Linked DNA regions of Arabidopsis thaliana. The protein of the gene in region 3 purifies or fractionates together with the protein of the main gene of each other region. This does not show direct contact. Each region holds a gene or a part of one and is shown on either strand. Other genes may lie near its edges.

Evidence for each region. The genes of interacting proteins can lie anywhere in the genome.
Region 1: the proteins of PGM3 (region 3) and OASA1 fractionate together in Arabidopsis thaliana (co-fractionation; one large-scale study listed by BioGRID). This does not show direct contact.
Region 2: the proteins of PGM3 (region 3) and NDPK1 fractionate together in Arabidopsis thaliana (co-fractionation; one large-scale study listed by BioGRID). This does not show direct contact.

What each region holds. Positions count from the first base shown.
Region 1 is NC_003075.7:8,517,409-8,522,277, forward strand, and holds OASA1 (O-acetylserine (thiol) lyase (OAS-TL)), read right to left. Parts: upstream 3,189-4,869; 5' UTR 2,924-3,188; exon of another isoform or gene 2,729-2,923; intron 2,659-2,728; exon of another isoform or gene 2,656-2,658; 5' UTR 2,643-2,655; coding exon 2,610-2,642; intron 2,523-2,609; coding exon 2,413-2,522; intron 2,326-2,412; coding exon 2,268-2,325; intron 2,188-2,267; coding exon 1,924-2,187; intron 1,833-1,923; coding exon 1,695-1,832; intron 1,598-1,694; coding exon 1,546-1,597; intron 1,417-1,545; coding exon 1,337-1,416; intron 1,230-1,336; coding exon 1,170-1,229; intron 1,083-1,169; coding exon 1,002-1,082; intron 894-1,001; coding exon 801-893; 3' UTR 552-800; downstream 1-551. Other genes in the region: SECE1 (secE/sec61-gamma protein transport protein), read left to right, coding at 1-373; FdC1 (2Fe-2S ferredoxin-like superfamily protein), read left to right, coding at 3,479-3,943; AT4G14900 (FRIGIDA-like protein), read right to left, coding at 4,351-4,866. UniProt on the Arabidopsis thaliana protein: Acts as a major cysteine synthase, probably involved in maintaining organic sulfur level.
Region 2 is NC_003075.7:5,921,512-5,924,917, reverse strand, and holds NDPK1 (nucleoside diphosphate kinase), read right to left. Parts: upstream 1,435-3,406; coding exon 1,384-1,434; intron 1,264-1,383; coding exon 1,215-1,263; intron 902-1,214; coding exon 552-901; downstream 1-551. UniProt on the Arabidopsis thaliana protein: Major role in the synthesis of nucleoside triphosphates other than ATP. The ATP gamma phosphate is transferred to the NDP beta phosphate via a ping-pong mechanism, using a phosphorylated active-site intermediate.
Region 3 is NC_003070.9:8,218,179-8,225,082, reverse strand, and holds PGM3 (Phosphoglucomutase/phosphomannomutase family protein), read right to left. Parts: upstream 5,276-6,904; 5' UTR 5,138-5,275; coding exon 5,060-5,137; intron 4,472-5,059; coding exon 4,390-4,471; intron 4,303-4,389; coding exon 4,247-4,302; intron 3,894-4,246; coding exon 3,780-3,893; intron 3,645-3,779; coding exon 3,582-3,644; intron 3,437-3,581; coding exon 3,317-3,436; intron 3,231-3,316; coding exon 3,130-3,230; intron 3,025-3,129; coding exon 2,965-3,024; intron 2,864-2,964; coding exon 2,764-2,863; intron 2,671-2,763; coding exon 2,513-2,670; intron 2,426-2,512; coding exon 2,330-2,425; intron 2,221-2,329; coding exon 2,157-2,220; intron 2,071-2,156; coding exon 1,989-2,070; intron 1,907-1,988; coding exon 1,728-1,906; intron 1,637-1,727; coding exon 1,560-1,636; intron 1,450-1,559; coding exon 1,317-1,449; intron 1,205-1,316; coding exon 1,088-1,204; intron 969-1,087; coding exon 897-968; 3' UTR 536-896; downstream 1-535. Other genes in the region: AT1G23180 (ARM repeat superfamily protein), read right to left, coding at 5,568-6,199, 6,274-6,464, 6,562-6,602, 6,683-6,736, 6,839-6,904. UniProt on the Arabidopsis thaliana protein: Catalyzes the reversible isomerization of alpha-D-glucose 1-phosphate to alpha-D-glucose 6-phosphate. The mechanism proceeds via the intermediate compound alpha-D-glucose 1,6-bisphosphate.

The DNA.
Region 1 (4,869 bases), on a different chromosome or scaffold from region 3:
GGCTATAGAACAGAGACGAGATACAGCTGGATCTGAATCGGAATCAGAAGCGACTCCGTCACCGGCGGAAGAGAGTGGAAGCGGAGAAGATAAGGAAGTGGAGATTAGCGCGATAGGAGCAGAGATAAAAGCAGCGATGGAGCAGAGGAAAACGGCGGAGGAAGAGAAAGGGAAGAACGAGTTTCTTAGTGGAGTTGCGGAGGAAGTGAAGGAGATTGAGTGGCCGGCGTTTCAGAAAGTTCTCGGAACTACCGGCGTCGTGCTCGGTGTTATCGCTGGCTCTAGCGTCGTCTTGCTCACTGTCAATTTCCTTTTGGCTGAACTCTCTGATCGAGTGTTCATCGGAAGAGGTGTTCAAGACTTCTTCAGCTGATCCTGTGAATTGAAAATGGTAAAATTTGTGTGTACAATTTTTAGTGATTGCAATGAGAAATCGAAACATTGTTGATTTGTGTAGATGATGATAAAGAGAATTATCGGAATCACTCCTTTTGAGCATTACCTTCTTCTTATCCTAATCTTATATTTAGCCTGAAATATTGACTTGGGTTATGTTGGTTTAGTTTTGATCATGAAACAGTATGATACTTATGAACAAAGTTACATAGCAAATTTAAACTTCATTAACAAGCAAGTGGTTCACAAAAGAAACAGAGAAAATCTAGTTTGACTTTTATTGGCACACAAGAGAAGATACAGATGGAAGCAAAGACGCAATGTAACTAAAGATGAAGAGTCTCTATAGGAGAAACTGAACATCTCTTTTATTTTGGCGTCTCTTAAGAAGAAATGGAGAATGTTCAAGCCTCGAAGGTCATGGCTTCCGCTTCTTTCCTTGTCGCATCGAAAAGTACCGTTGATAGATACCTCTCCCCGAAACTCGGGAATATCGCCTGTAAAATAATTCAGTTGATTTCGTTTACATCAGAATCAGAAAGAAATCCGGGTTATGTAATCAGAGCTTATTGGCTTTGGGGTGATGATAGAATCAAAGAGCTTACCACAAATAGCTTCCCAGCGTTTTCTGGCCTCTGTGCAAGTTTAATTGCTGCAGCAGCTGCTGCACCGGATGATATTCCCACCTACAGTATAGCTTTTGTTTTTAGAAACAGAACGAAGTTGTAATTCTGATGGAGATAGCTTTTTGTTGTGAAATGTGAAACACTTACAAGAAGACCTTCTTTAAGAGCAAGCTGCCTTGCCATGTCAATGGATTCATCACTTGAAACCTGTTGAAAGCGTTACAGGAAAATGGAGAGAGTCAAGTAAGAAATGAAGCTCTCTTGCATTCAATTGTGTTTTGCTATCAGTCGATAATATCGAAAAGCAGTCTTACCTGAACAACTTCGTCAATAAGATCAACATTCAATACACTTGGTATAAAACCAGCTCCTATCCCTTGAATCTTGTGAGGACCTTGATATTTTCAGCAAACATCATGTGTTAGGAAACTCCGAGGATAAAAAATAAGACATGAGGCAAACCGAGAAACGAGGAACATGCATGCATGGTTATCGTAATAAACGCAGGGGGAACCAAAATCACCTGGCTTCCCACCGGATAGAATAGCACTTTCAACTGGCTCCACTCCATACAGCTAACAGAAGAGGAAACAAAATGAGAAACCGTGCAAAGACACACCACTTAGTCACTTAGATAACAAAGCCAGTTGTTCGAAAAGATGGAGCTCTCACCTTGACGTTTGCGTTCTGTTCTTTAAGATACTTCCCAGCACCTGTAATGGTACCACCAGTACCAATCCCAGAAACAAAGCCATCGATTTTGCCACCAGTGCCTTTCCATATCTCAGGTCCCGTAGTCTCATAGTGGATCTGCATTTGACAGTGAAATTCCATCGACTTAATATGGTTCAAAAACAGACAAAAACAGATACACTAAAGCAATAGTAAATAATAAGCATACCTTAGGGTTGGCAGGGTTCTCAAACTGCTGAAGCATGTAACCATTGGGTGTTTTCGCCAAAATCTCTTCCGCCTTTGCGATAGCTCCTTTCATGCCCTTAGCTGGGTCAGTTAAAACCAACTCAACTCCAAAAGCTAAGAGAATGATTCTTCTCTCAGTACTCATAGAAGCTGGCATTGTAATAATAAGCTTGTAGCCTTTGGCAGCTGCCGTGAATGCTAACCCAACTCCAGTGTTTCCACTTGTTGGCTCAATCAGCACACTCTAAAGAACAAACAAAAAGTCAGAAACAATGAAAACAAAAACAAAATAGTGGTTTGAAGATTCAGATAATCGAAACTGACCTCTCCTGGTTTGATAAGACCCTTCTTTTCTGCATCAGAAATCATGCTAAAACCAATCCTGCAGAAATAAACAAAGTACAAGGTCTTCACAAAACCGAAACTCGAAGCGAGAAACAACACATAGTTTCTGGACTAGAGAAGAAACCTGTCTTTGACGCTAGAGCACGGTTCCATCATCTCAAGCTTAGCAGCAACACGACCAACACATCCTTCAGCAACATTGTTCAAATACACCAATGGAGTGTTCCCAATCAACTGCCAAATAGAATCAATCAATACATGAACATGGAACAAAGCTCACTCCTTCGTGAAATGAACAGTGAAAGAACTTGAAAGCCTTACTTCAGTCACATCTTTAGCAATTCTCGAGGCCATGATTCAAGCTTCACTGCTTAAATTCACAAAAAGAGAAAAGTAAGACCAAAGGAATAAATCATCCTCAAACCAAAAACACATCATACAAAATCATCAAACATAAATCTCCAGATGTATGAGCACCAATCCAGTTATACAACACTCTTAACACCAAATCAACAGATTTAACAGCGAAATAAGCTTAAGCCCATACAATTATCCGATCCAAACAAATATAATCGAAACCGGCAGAGGAATAAGCAAGTGAATCAAAAAGTATGGGACGAGGAAGAAGATGATACCTGAATGAGAAAGTCAATAACCTTGACCCGAATCGTTTTGAAGAAAATGGAGAAAATCGGTTGTATGGAATAAAATCTTCGAATGATGAGATATATGATCTCTTTGGTGTCAGTCACATGGCACACGCTATCAATTTAGAAAAACGCGGTGGTTGGTCACCAGAATTACTACTTCTCGGTCTGATTTGGTCATATCCGTATTAAGTCCGGTTAATATTTTCCATAACTGGGGTTTGAACATTCGGTTTCTTTTTTTCAGTTAGTCCGATTTGGAGTTTTGAGTATGGAAAAATAATACTGAATTTATTTGTTCAAACTGTTTTGGAAAAAATATTTCCCTTAATTACGAATATAATTAAAATTTTAAAATTCATTTTATTAGATCTTGGTTAATTCGGTTTAATGCATTAATGAATTTCGGTTTAAGTCGGTTTTCGGTTTTTATGTCCCACCACTATCTACAACCGATGATCAACCTTATCTCCGTATTCACCACAAACAGTCATCACTCTCACTTGACACAAAAACTCTTTTGTCTCCGTCTCTCTGTCTCTCATGGCGACTCTTCCTCTCCCGACTCAAACTTCTACAATCTCTCTCCCTAAACCTTATCTCTCCAATTCCTTCTCCTTCCCACTCCGTAACGCAACACTCTCAACAACAACAAACCGCCGGAACTTTCTCACCACCGGAAGGATCATAGCTCGGGCATATAAAGTGGTGGTAGAGCACGACGGAAAGACGACTGAATTGGAAGTCGAACCAGACGAGACGATTCTATCTAAGGCTCTTGACTCTGGCCTTGACGTTCCCTACGACTGCAATCTCGGTGTTTGTATGACTTGTCCAGCGAAACTCGTGACCGGAACGGTGGATCAAAGTGGTGGGATGCTAAGTGATGATGTGGTTGAACGTGGCTACACGCTTCTATGTGCTTCGTATCCAACTTCTGATTGTCACATTAAGATGATCCCTGAGGAAGAACTCTTGTCTCTCCAGCTCGCCACTGCCAACGACTAATCATCTTCTTGATTTAGACTAAAGAAGTCTTTTTTTTGGTGTAATACGAACACTTTGTAACGAATCTTGCTATGAGACTTCGAAATCTTGATTTCAATGAGCCAATACAAACAGTGATACATAACATAATCACAGTGAAACATTCCTGGTTTAAGATGAATCTATTAAGTACTGAACTAAATTCGTTGATTGAAACATTAGGAAAGTGAATAGATATGTATAATTTAGATTAATAAACACACAAGGGTAGACTAATTCAGAACCAGAAAGAGTGAGAGTGTTAGCTACAAATGATACGATATAAAAAAAGAGAGATTACAACAAAAACGAGGTAGAGACAAAACGTAGACACCAGAGATCAGTGGTTGGTTACTTACCATCTTCTTTTTTCCTTTGTCATTGTCTAATCAGTAGTAAGCATGCTGAATATGGTGGTGGTGGTGCGGGTGAGGATGGTAAACTGGAGGGGGTGGAGCAGCCACCGGACTGCAGTAGGTACCATATGCTGTCGGATAACTGACCGGAGAGGTTTGGTAAGAACCATGAACCGCCTCGGGTGAGTATTGGTATGGAGGGCTCCTGTTGCTGTAGATGGTAGGTGGGGATGTGGTGTATGCTGGTACACCGTATTGAGGTGAGTGACTTTGGGATCTGATGAATGTTGGTGGAGGCGGTGGGAAAGAGGAGACGTAAGCGTTTGTGATACGCCCTGCTTTGGCTGGTGGCATTGGACCGCTGTAGCTTGCTCGGGTTCTCTTGTTGGCGGGAATCACGGCTGGTTTTCTCTTCTCGGTTTTGGTCTTCTCTAGCTGATCCAACCTCTTCTTGAGATTCTCGGGTGGGAATTCTTCCTCGAGTTTGTATTCTTCTATGCATTTTAAGACTGCTCTAAGTGCTGATTGCTCTTTGCGCGCCACAAGATGCTA
Region 2 (3,406 bases), on a different chromosome or scaffold from region 3:
TTGAAACAGACGGGTTGGAGTTGAACCTGACCGTTGGATTCTTTTCTTCTCTAAAGTTTGAAGAACCAAAATTGTAAAATTTAGTTATTTAAATTTAGCTTGCCAATGTTCATCAGTAAGCTTGAAATTCAGTAGACAAATACTCAAAACTTTTCTTATCACTCTCTCCTAGTATGCCCCCTTCAAGTTGGTGTCAGCCTCAAACTTGGACAATGGCTTACTAGACAACTTAAGCTTGCCACTTTGTCGAACGTCGCAGTTTTCGAGAGCATCTAAGAGATTGACAACATTATGTGTTCATGAAACACAAGGTTACAAGAAGTATGATCTTGTGTTTACTAAATAGGTTTGATCTAACCATTGGTAAGAGTCAATTTTGGTTCAGTATCTGCAATAACTGATATATTTTATATCACCAGTTGGTAGCTGTTGTATTCATATGTAGCAAGCAAGCAAAGTAGAGAAGGATAATCAAACTCAACTTAAATATAGAAGTCTTGTTCAAAAGACAAGCAATGTCGAAAACACACTACTGAAAAAGCAACAGATCATCAAGTTTCATAGACCCAAGGGTGAACGCTGCTCTGCCAGTTGACAGGTCCATCAGGGAACCACAAAGCAATCTCCTTTCTTGCACTCTCGACAGAGTCACTACCATGGATCACGTTCCTGCCAATGTCAATAGCAAAGTCCCCACGGATAGTTCCAGGCTCAGAAGCTGCTGGGTTGGTAGCTCCAATGATCTTTCTTCCGGTCAAGACAACATTCTTTCCTTCCCAGATCATAGCAACAACAGGGCCGGATACAATGTAGTCAACGAGTCCACTGAAGAAAGACTTTGAAGATAAGTCTTCGTAGTGCTTCTCAGCAAAAGATCTCTCTACACTGATCAACTTCAGACCTGTATAAAATACAAATCTACACTGATCAGAAACACAAGACTAACACTCTTATCTACCAAATTACATAATACAAAAGGTCCAGATAATAACAAGTTCTTATGCACAGATACTATAATCTAAAATCTATTAGACAACACAGAATACTTGTCAAGTCAAACAAGTTTTACTAAACTATTAGTGTTCAGAAACTAGACCAAACCATAAGCAACTATAGTGTCATTACAATCTCAATTCAAGTAACAAAGTGACTTTAATTAGATCTAAGACCTCTAATTATAATGTAAAATCAAGTTTGGTAATCGAAATCATTACCTTTCAAAGTGAAACCCTTCTTCTCAAACCTGCAGATGACTTCACCGATCTGAAAGAAAAAAACACAAACATATCGATCTTTTAAGTATAAACAATCCAAAGAACTGAATACAAAACCAAAATCAGATCAAGATCAACAAGTATGTATTAAGAGAAAAGGGAAGCTTACGAGTCCTCTCTGGACGCCGTCAGGCTTGATCATAATAAAAGTTTGCTCCATTGTTTTCTTATTACTTGTGATTCGTAGGAGGCAAAAAAGATTTATATAGAGTCCGCACATGTAACCCTAATTCTGTTGAAGAATATTCTAACCCTAGAATATTTGCTACAAATTATTGGGCTTCCCTTATTATTATGTTAGGCCCAATTAAATAAAATATTGGGCTTCATAAAAAAAACACAAATAATATTTTTTTGCAACTTAATTATTTATGTCAAACAAACGTAGATTAATACTGTGATATTAAAAGTCGTTCGCAATATAACTCTTGCACGTGTATAGATTTTGCAAATCATATAAATCTGTACATGATTATTAAAATTACGTCGTTTTGAGCCTTCTTTTAACAAAAAAAACGGCTTTTACTTATTATTATTTTAAGGTTCAATTAGTTATAAAAATTGGATTTTGTGCCAAAAAATTCTCTAAGTAATTTTTTTTGTAACTCAATCATGTAAGTTAAATAAATGCAGGTCTGCGATCTCAAAAGTCACCTATAGTATATCTCTTAGACGTGTATAGATTTTGCAAACCGTATGTTTATATATAGGTTATTAAAACTACGTTGTTTTGAGCCTTTAAACAAAAACGCAAAATAATGTTGGAAAATAGATTTGAACGCATGGCATATTGAACTATTCAAAGATTACTTAACCAATTGAGCAGAGTGATTTTGTTAACTTTACAAACCGATTAATATATATAGTTTAAACATGAATCGAATACAACAATAACATTATTTCAGAATTGTAAACATAAAACTTGACAAACAGCGCGAGCGGTTACGATCGGATCAAACCCAAGTCTGAACACGCTCAATTCTTCCACCCACGCCTCGTCTCAGAGCTTTCCTCGATGAAGAATAGATTAATTGCGATGAGAATGAGCCCTTGCTTGCTCTACAAATTGTTGATGATGGCCAAAGATAATGAAATCAGTGGTGATAAACAAACTAGTTCACGTGAATAGAGATTTCGGATTGCTAATAAACCTAATTTCCTAAGAAGATGAAGAAACCCAGAATGCAATGTTCACAATATATATTTATCGGTATGCAATATCAACAATAAATCTTGCAGCACAATTGGTTAAGTGCATTATTTAGTATTATAGGTTATTGGTTCCAATCCACTCTAGTAATGTATTATTTTCCGAAAAGATGCTCAAACGACGTAGTTTAATAACTTATATACATACTTATACGGTTTGCAAAATCTAAGCACGCCCAAAGATTATATAAAATCTATGCACGTGGTTATACTGTGGGTGACTTTTGATATCAGAGTATTGACCTACATGTATTTAATATGAAAGGTTATGTTGCAAAAAAAAATATTTTTGAGGGTTGTTGGCACAAAACCCTAATATATTTGTTAGATTTGGATTAAAAGAGTTTGATCACACCACTTTGATGCATTCTCTCATGTTGAAGATATACACAACACATTTTCTAAACAAAAATTGTAGTTTTAAGGATTTTATTTTTTATAATATATATATCAAGTATATGAATTGATATAGAAACTATATATAAGTACATAAATTATTCGATGTAGCCAATTACTTCAAAAATTGATAAAATGATCTCAAACACATTTTTTAATAGAGCAAAGTTCTCTTTCTCCATCTCTTGCTACTCAATCATTTTGTTGTATCTACTTTATCATCTATTCGCATAAATTTGTACATAACCACTTGTTCTTAAAGATTATTTCTCATCACATTCGAAAACACTGTCGCTAACACATCTTGCCTAACTCTTTTAGACCTTCAAATATGTATTAAAGAAAGAAAGACAAGTTTTCTACATGATGAAAGTTTGCTCCATTTTTTTTGCTTGCTTATGACCCATGGGAGGCAAAATGAGTTATATATAGTCTCCACAAATTTTTAACTCTAATTATACCGAAGAACATTGTAGAGCTAGAATATTCGCTGCATTTTTAGTGTTATTGAGTCTTCACTTATTATT
Region 3 (6,904 bases):
TTTTTCGAGAAAACAAAATATATTGCACGATTATATAATCAAATTCTTTTTTTTCTCACGTTCATATATTATGTATATGAATATGATTTATACGACCACTCAATTAGTCACATGTTATTGATACTTGACAGAACTCATTATGTCTGAATTTGGATTTGAAATATACTGATAGGTCAATGATACAAATATTTGATACTAAAACTCAAAAGAGAAAGAAATCGAGTATAAGAAAGATATACTTACACGAAATAAAGGATAGTGTGGTTTAAGTGGAGTAGAAAGTTGAATGAAGCTTCGTTCTAGATATGGAAGGTCCGGTGGGAGAATTAGGGTTGTGTACGACTCTAACCAAATCTTTGGGTTTCCTTGTTCCAATTCTCTATATTCGTTTCGAAAGCAACACATACATATATTGAATCTTCCATTTATTCTCTTTCGTTTTCAAGTTCGACGTCTCTCCCACTTTTCAAAAGAGAAGTAATAAAAAATGGCTTTCGTCCATATATTATGGTATCATGCATTGAAAACCATGCAACATCAAACCAAAACACGAGAGGGTGCATTTTCATGAGTACCCATTTGAAGTAATTAGACAACTCTGAGATTTGTCAATGGATGGTCGTAGCATGCTTTGAGGTATCAATGAACTTAGATGTTAAGAGAGTATACTCGCCAAAATACGGAAACAAGAGAGAACAAAACTGAGAAAGCCAAATCCGTACAAGTATAAGCCTCACAACAACTCAAGAAATCAGTCTTGGTTGTTCAGAATTCTGATGAGAAATACAAATTCTCCCTGAGACTAATTATTCTTATAATGTAACTTGGATAGTATAAGAAGAAAACATCATATAGACGAAAAGGTGAATGGTTTGAGTCGTTGAGCTTGACCCTTCTTATGTTATGACGGTGGGGGCTGATCGGCCTGTGAACTCTTCCATCTTCGACAGCTTTAGAGCTAAGTCAACCTGTGAATCACACATCAACAATTACGTATTTGATTAGAGAAAACCCCTTTGGTATTAGCTAAATGGTAATGAGTCGGAAAACAGTTTATGGATTTGAGGTTTTATAGTAAGCAACTGACCAGAGGAGACAAAGCTTCCTGGGATTCTCGGCCGGTTTTTGAAGCATCCTTTTCGTACTGTTCGATGTAAAGCCGGATGGTTGCTCCTTCTGAGCCAGTTCCAGAGAGACGGAAAACCTTCATATGGTTTCAGATATAACAAGAGAGGATTAGTTAGTTTTGATTTCTATCACTTTGTTCTTAGCTGGAATGTATCCAAGCTCAAATACCGAAGAAAAAGATGACTTACAAGTCGTGATCCGTCTTCAAACAAGTAACGGATTCCCTGGTGCTTCGAAATGGATCCATCAACTGGATCTTTGTACTCGAATTCATCAGCACTGGCGACGCTTGCCACGTCCGAACGAATTCCTTTCACAATCCTGAATAAAATCAAGAGAGAAGAAGAGGTTAGAAAAACAGAGTACCAAACTGATGAGTACGTGTTCAAGTATAAAAGGAAGGGATTTCAGAGAAGTGGAAGTGTGTGTACTTGTTAACTTCAGGAATTGAAGATTGCAATTTGACCAAATGCTCCATCAGTTCCTTAGCTTTACCTGCGTCTACATTCTTTAGAGACAAATTTTGAGATGTCAGTAAGGGTACTGTTTCTTCCATATAATATGGTATAATTACAATCACCAAACTTAGCAACTTTTACCTCATAGTCGTAACGAGTGTAATAGTGACGACCGTAGGTAGCCCAATGCTGGCGGACAATGTCTTCAACTGACACCAGTTTAGCGTTACCGTCAATATTTCCCTTGTTCTTGTGAGCAAGTATAGACATCCATGCAAGAACTGCCCATATTCCGTCTTTCTCACGGATATGATCCGAGCCTGTGAAAGATCTTTCTTTCAGAACTGTATAGGTTGTTTTAAAGTTATGAACAGATGTGTGAGTGTGGAAATAGAAACTGACCAGTTCCAAAACTTTCTTCTCCACAAACAGAACACATCCCAGCATCCATCAGATTACCAAAAAACTTCCAGCCTGTTGGAACCTGATATGTGATTTAATAGAGATATGAAATTAAATTATGTAGTTAGGAGAAAAGAAGCTGGATAGAAGTTGCACGGTGACATGTACCTCAAAGAACTTCAAATTCAAGCTTTTTGCAACGACATCAAGAGCAGCTGAGGTTGGCATGCTCCTAAAACAAGAAGTGGAAGTTACAAAATAATCCACAAAAAAGATATATTAAAAGAGTTGTATACACAGAATTCTACTAGAAGTAAAAAAAGAGCCCAGGTGTATAATACCTTGCAACACCTTTCAAACCAGAGCTGAAGTACGGGATGGCACCAATAGCATTTGCAGCAATTATGGCAACTGAATCCGAAGGAGTTACAAAGAACCTACAAATGAAGAGATACTTTAAGTTTAAAAGTACTTGGTATACTAGTTCCATGGATGTATCTCTCTTGAAAACGTCAGTAAGCTACCTTTTACCAAGGATCATGTTACGGTCTGCATCACCATCAGCAGCGGCGCCAAACTCTGGAGGTTCACCTCCAGTGTCGGATTTACCTAATCCCATTCGTGCCACAAGCTCCTTAGCATAGGTCAAATTGGGATCCGGATGCCCTCCTCCAAAGTCCTCCTGCAAATCGTTGTATTGTGGTAAATATTGAGCCTGGAGGTGTATTTGTAATCATTTATGGAATAGCGTTTCTTGGTTAGACAAAAATAAGACCTTGGGAGTGCAGTTCAATAATGCGCTTTCTTGCGCACCGAGTTCTTCGACAAAGATGCGATGTGCATAGGCTCCAGCAACTCCATGCAATGCATCATAGCTTCATAAAACAAAGTAAAATATAACATTACAGTGATGGAACATATATTACAAAACTTAACTCAAATGGAAAAGGTTTGGGAACCAATGTTAGTTACATACCAGAATGTAAACTTTGGAGATGATAGCAATTTCCGGATGGCTTCAAAATCGAAGATTGACCTTGAAGGAGCGAGAATTTTTCTTTAGAAAGATCATAAAAATTGCACATAGACCATAGAGGGAGCAGATTCCAGAATCATGCTTTTAAATTGAGGGACCACTCACTTCATTAATTTAACGTAGTCATCTGCGGGATCAAAAACTTCAACATCAAATTTTCCTTCAGGTCCTTCAAAACTGGTTACACCAACAGCAGAAATATCAACCTGTCGCATTCATCAGATAGACCAGATCAACTATGATTCAACAAAAGACAGATGATGGAAATCTATAAGAGGATTCTTAAGAATACATTGGGTAGATCTTGTGCTATTGGGTACTCCTTGATTGTCTTAGTGTTCTCGTAAATTTTATCAGTGATTGATTCAGGAGCAGGTCCTCCATTTTCCATATTGTATTTGATTCCAAAATCCTGTACAAGGGGTATGGAATCACCTCTTAGTCTTATTATCCATCTAGATATCTTATTATTAAAAAAAGAACAAATAAAGAGATACAAAACGAATAGTTCAAATGAAAGGATAGCACAGTAGAGATGGAACAAGAACAGAACGGACCTCAGTAGGGCCACCAGGATTGTGGCTTGCTGTTAAGATAAATGCTCCAGTTGCTTTCGATCCCTGTAATCGGAGACTGGGGTTAAGTAACTCAAAACCATCATTACATTTTGCGTCATGCACAAACATAGCAAATAACCAAAAAAAACAAAAAACAAAATGTCACTACAACCATGAGCATAGAGAAAGAAATCTCACATCAGCCCCTGATCTTTCACGAATCACAGCTGATACAGCAGGAGTTGATAACAGAGTGTTTTTACCAACCCACACACGTCGTACACCATTAGCTGCTGCCATCTTAATTATGATCTGTTAAGATACAAAATAAAATTGTATGAAAAGCAGTAAAACATCTTCATCTGTAACAGTATGAACCGGATTTGTAATAGGAGTAGATCAAACAAACTTAAGTTTCAGAGATTTCAAAGTCAAACAAAACTTTAACTTCTATAAACCTCTAATCTCTCTATAGAGGTTTCGATGCAAATTTTAGAGATGAACACAAAGAAAAATAAGCAAGGCATTGATGATAATAGCAGGCCTTCCTAACACAGGAGTTCCCTCCAAAACATTGTAAATACATGAGCACTAATTCATAATTCTATGGATACGCCAATTACATTCACACAGATCCAGAAGACAGGGAATATCATCGGCCTTACCTGAACAGCATCCTTTGAGTAATAACGACCATCACCAGAGACCACAAGTGTGGCACCTGCACATATGAACAATAAACACTCATGAATTTTTCGAATGAGCAGATATCTCTGAGAAGCTAAGATGAGTATGAAAAAAATCTCACCTTTAACTTTCTCCGCCGTAAGAGCATTGAATGTTGCTTGGACAAAATTCTCTAGATAATTGGGTTGCTTGAACACTTTCACCTACACAGTTAGAAAAAAAAAAAAAAATACTAATCAGAGATACAAAAAGATGCTAGTTTGATATCTGCAGAGAGTAGAACAAACAATCGACACTCGATTGATTGGATAAAATGATCAACCCAAATTTCTTTTATCAAAATATCTGAAACAGATCTGATCAGTGAGTCTCAATAAACGTCATTGCAGATCGTATATACGTTAAACGAAGATCTGACAATAACAACTAGGCTCTTCCCTAGTTTCAATTATACACAAATTCAATCCATATAGTCTCCATTTCGCTACACCAACTCAAAAAACGTAATTTCAAGCTCTATCAAATCAACATTCACCACATAGAAGCGTCCCAAACATATACTCAAATCAAATATAATAAACGTGATCTCGAACTTGATCCAAATAAAATAACGAAAACGAAATTTAAAATTTGTCATCATTCACTAATCAATATAGATTAATGCATAGATCAAATCTAATCAGATGGTCAATCTCACTTCAAAATCACACTCAAGAAAATCTAAACAGATCTGATCCAGATGCAACAATTCGATTTCGTTTGATTCAGAAGACAAGGATCGATCAACGAACCTTCTTACGAAGACCAGAAGTTCCTGGTTTCTGGCCATCAATAGGAGATGTGGATACGGTAGAAACCTTGAAAACCATATTCGCTTTGAGAAGAACAAAGATCAAAATTTGGACGCAGAGAGAGTGATGATGATAAAAGCAAGCAGCTCTTAAATAAATTACGCAAAAGAGAAGCTTGCTTAAAAGCTAAACGATCCCAAGACACGTGTAACCAAGTGAGTGAACTAGAACGTTTCTCTCGTTTTCACTGACACAGTAAGAAAATCTCAGCCGTTGGATTGTATTTTCAGATTTTAAATTCATTTTTGCTTGCGTAACATTTCAAAGATTAAATATTTGATTGATCATGTGTAATCTCTAGAATATGGTAATAGTAATATACGTGCTACGTAATCCGATTATCTTAATGTAATTAACTTTTCGTATATTCGTCTCACATGACAAATCATACATTATATTATTCTAATTGATTCCAAAATTTTACATGACAATAATCTGTAAAAATGTCTTAAACGGGTAAATTTCTGAGTAACCGAAGAGCTTTCTCCCATTGTGGTCGTTGAGACATAACGATACGTCTCAATACTGGTACAGCTCCTGCTCTTATGATGGCTGTGTGGTTCTCACTGTCCATGGTTAAGTTGTACAATACTGACAAACTCGCTTCAACGCACCGCTCGTTCCTTTCTTCAAGAAGCTTAACCAGCGGTTCGATACCTCCTTGTGAAGCAAGTGTTTGGATAGATTCTGGAACTCCCTCGGAGACTATCTTGTTCAGTTCTAAAACCGCTGCTTCTTTCGTTTCTGGTGATGAGGAAAAGCTCATTTGTTCCACGAGGCTCGGGATCGTTTTGTACAGAGTTACCTCAAGATTGATCGGATTGTTGAGGGATTGAGAGGGAGAGGAGAGAGCGGTGAGTTTGACAAGACAAGCGGCAACCCAGTCTTTGTAGTGTAGAGGGAGGCTTGATCTTAGGATCTTCCTTACTAATTCTATGAAGACCGCGGTATCTATTGTTTGGCGAAAGGACTCGGAGTCAAGAAGTTTTGTCAGTAGCCTTGAAGCAGCGGAAATCGTCAAACCAGCTTCTTCTAGCTTAAGCAGATGTTTCTCTAACTCCTCAGCTTCATTCTCAGGTTCTGCATTTCCATAAAAAGTATTGTATGCTGTTATAAAATTCAAACAGAGTTATATCAAAAGATAAGTTTTGTACCTTCCAGGACTTTCTGCCGGAGAGCAAGATCAAGAACAGTTGTGATATCCTTGGAGATGATCGTGTCCATGTTTGGATTACTGATTATACCAAACTCGATGACAGAGATTGCGTTTCTTAGCAGGTTCGGAGAGGCTGTTTTCGCAATCTGGACGAGCCGAGAAAAAACAGCAGCGTCCAGAACTTCCTTTCTGTTCATTCCCATCCGATGTTTTGAGTAATTAATACTTCTAAAAAAACAAAAAGAATGAATGAGCTGAAGATAGGAAGATCGAGAAGAAGACTGACCTGGAGTCTGCTTTTGATCCGTTCACCGGTCCTTCATAAAACTGTAGCATGTAGAGAAATAGCATAAGCCAAATGAAAGCAGATTTAATGTATAATAATCAACCTTGGAAAATAAACACACCTTGGATTCCATTTCCTTGCTAGGATCTAAGATATGAGCAATTATATCCAGAACCTGCATAACATAGTTCACAAAATACCATTTCACGTCCAGTTATTCCATAATAGCCTAGACAAAGATATCAAAGAACAAAGGAAGAAGAAAATGAAGTCATACGTGTTCTGTAACGTTTAGTGAGATCTCTGGCTGCTTCAGAAGATTAATAAGAAACCATACTGCACC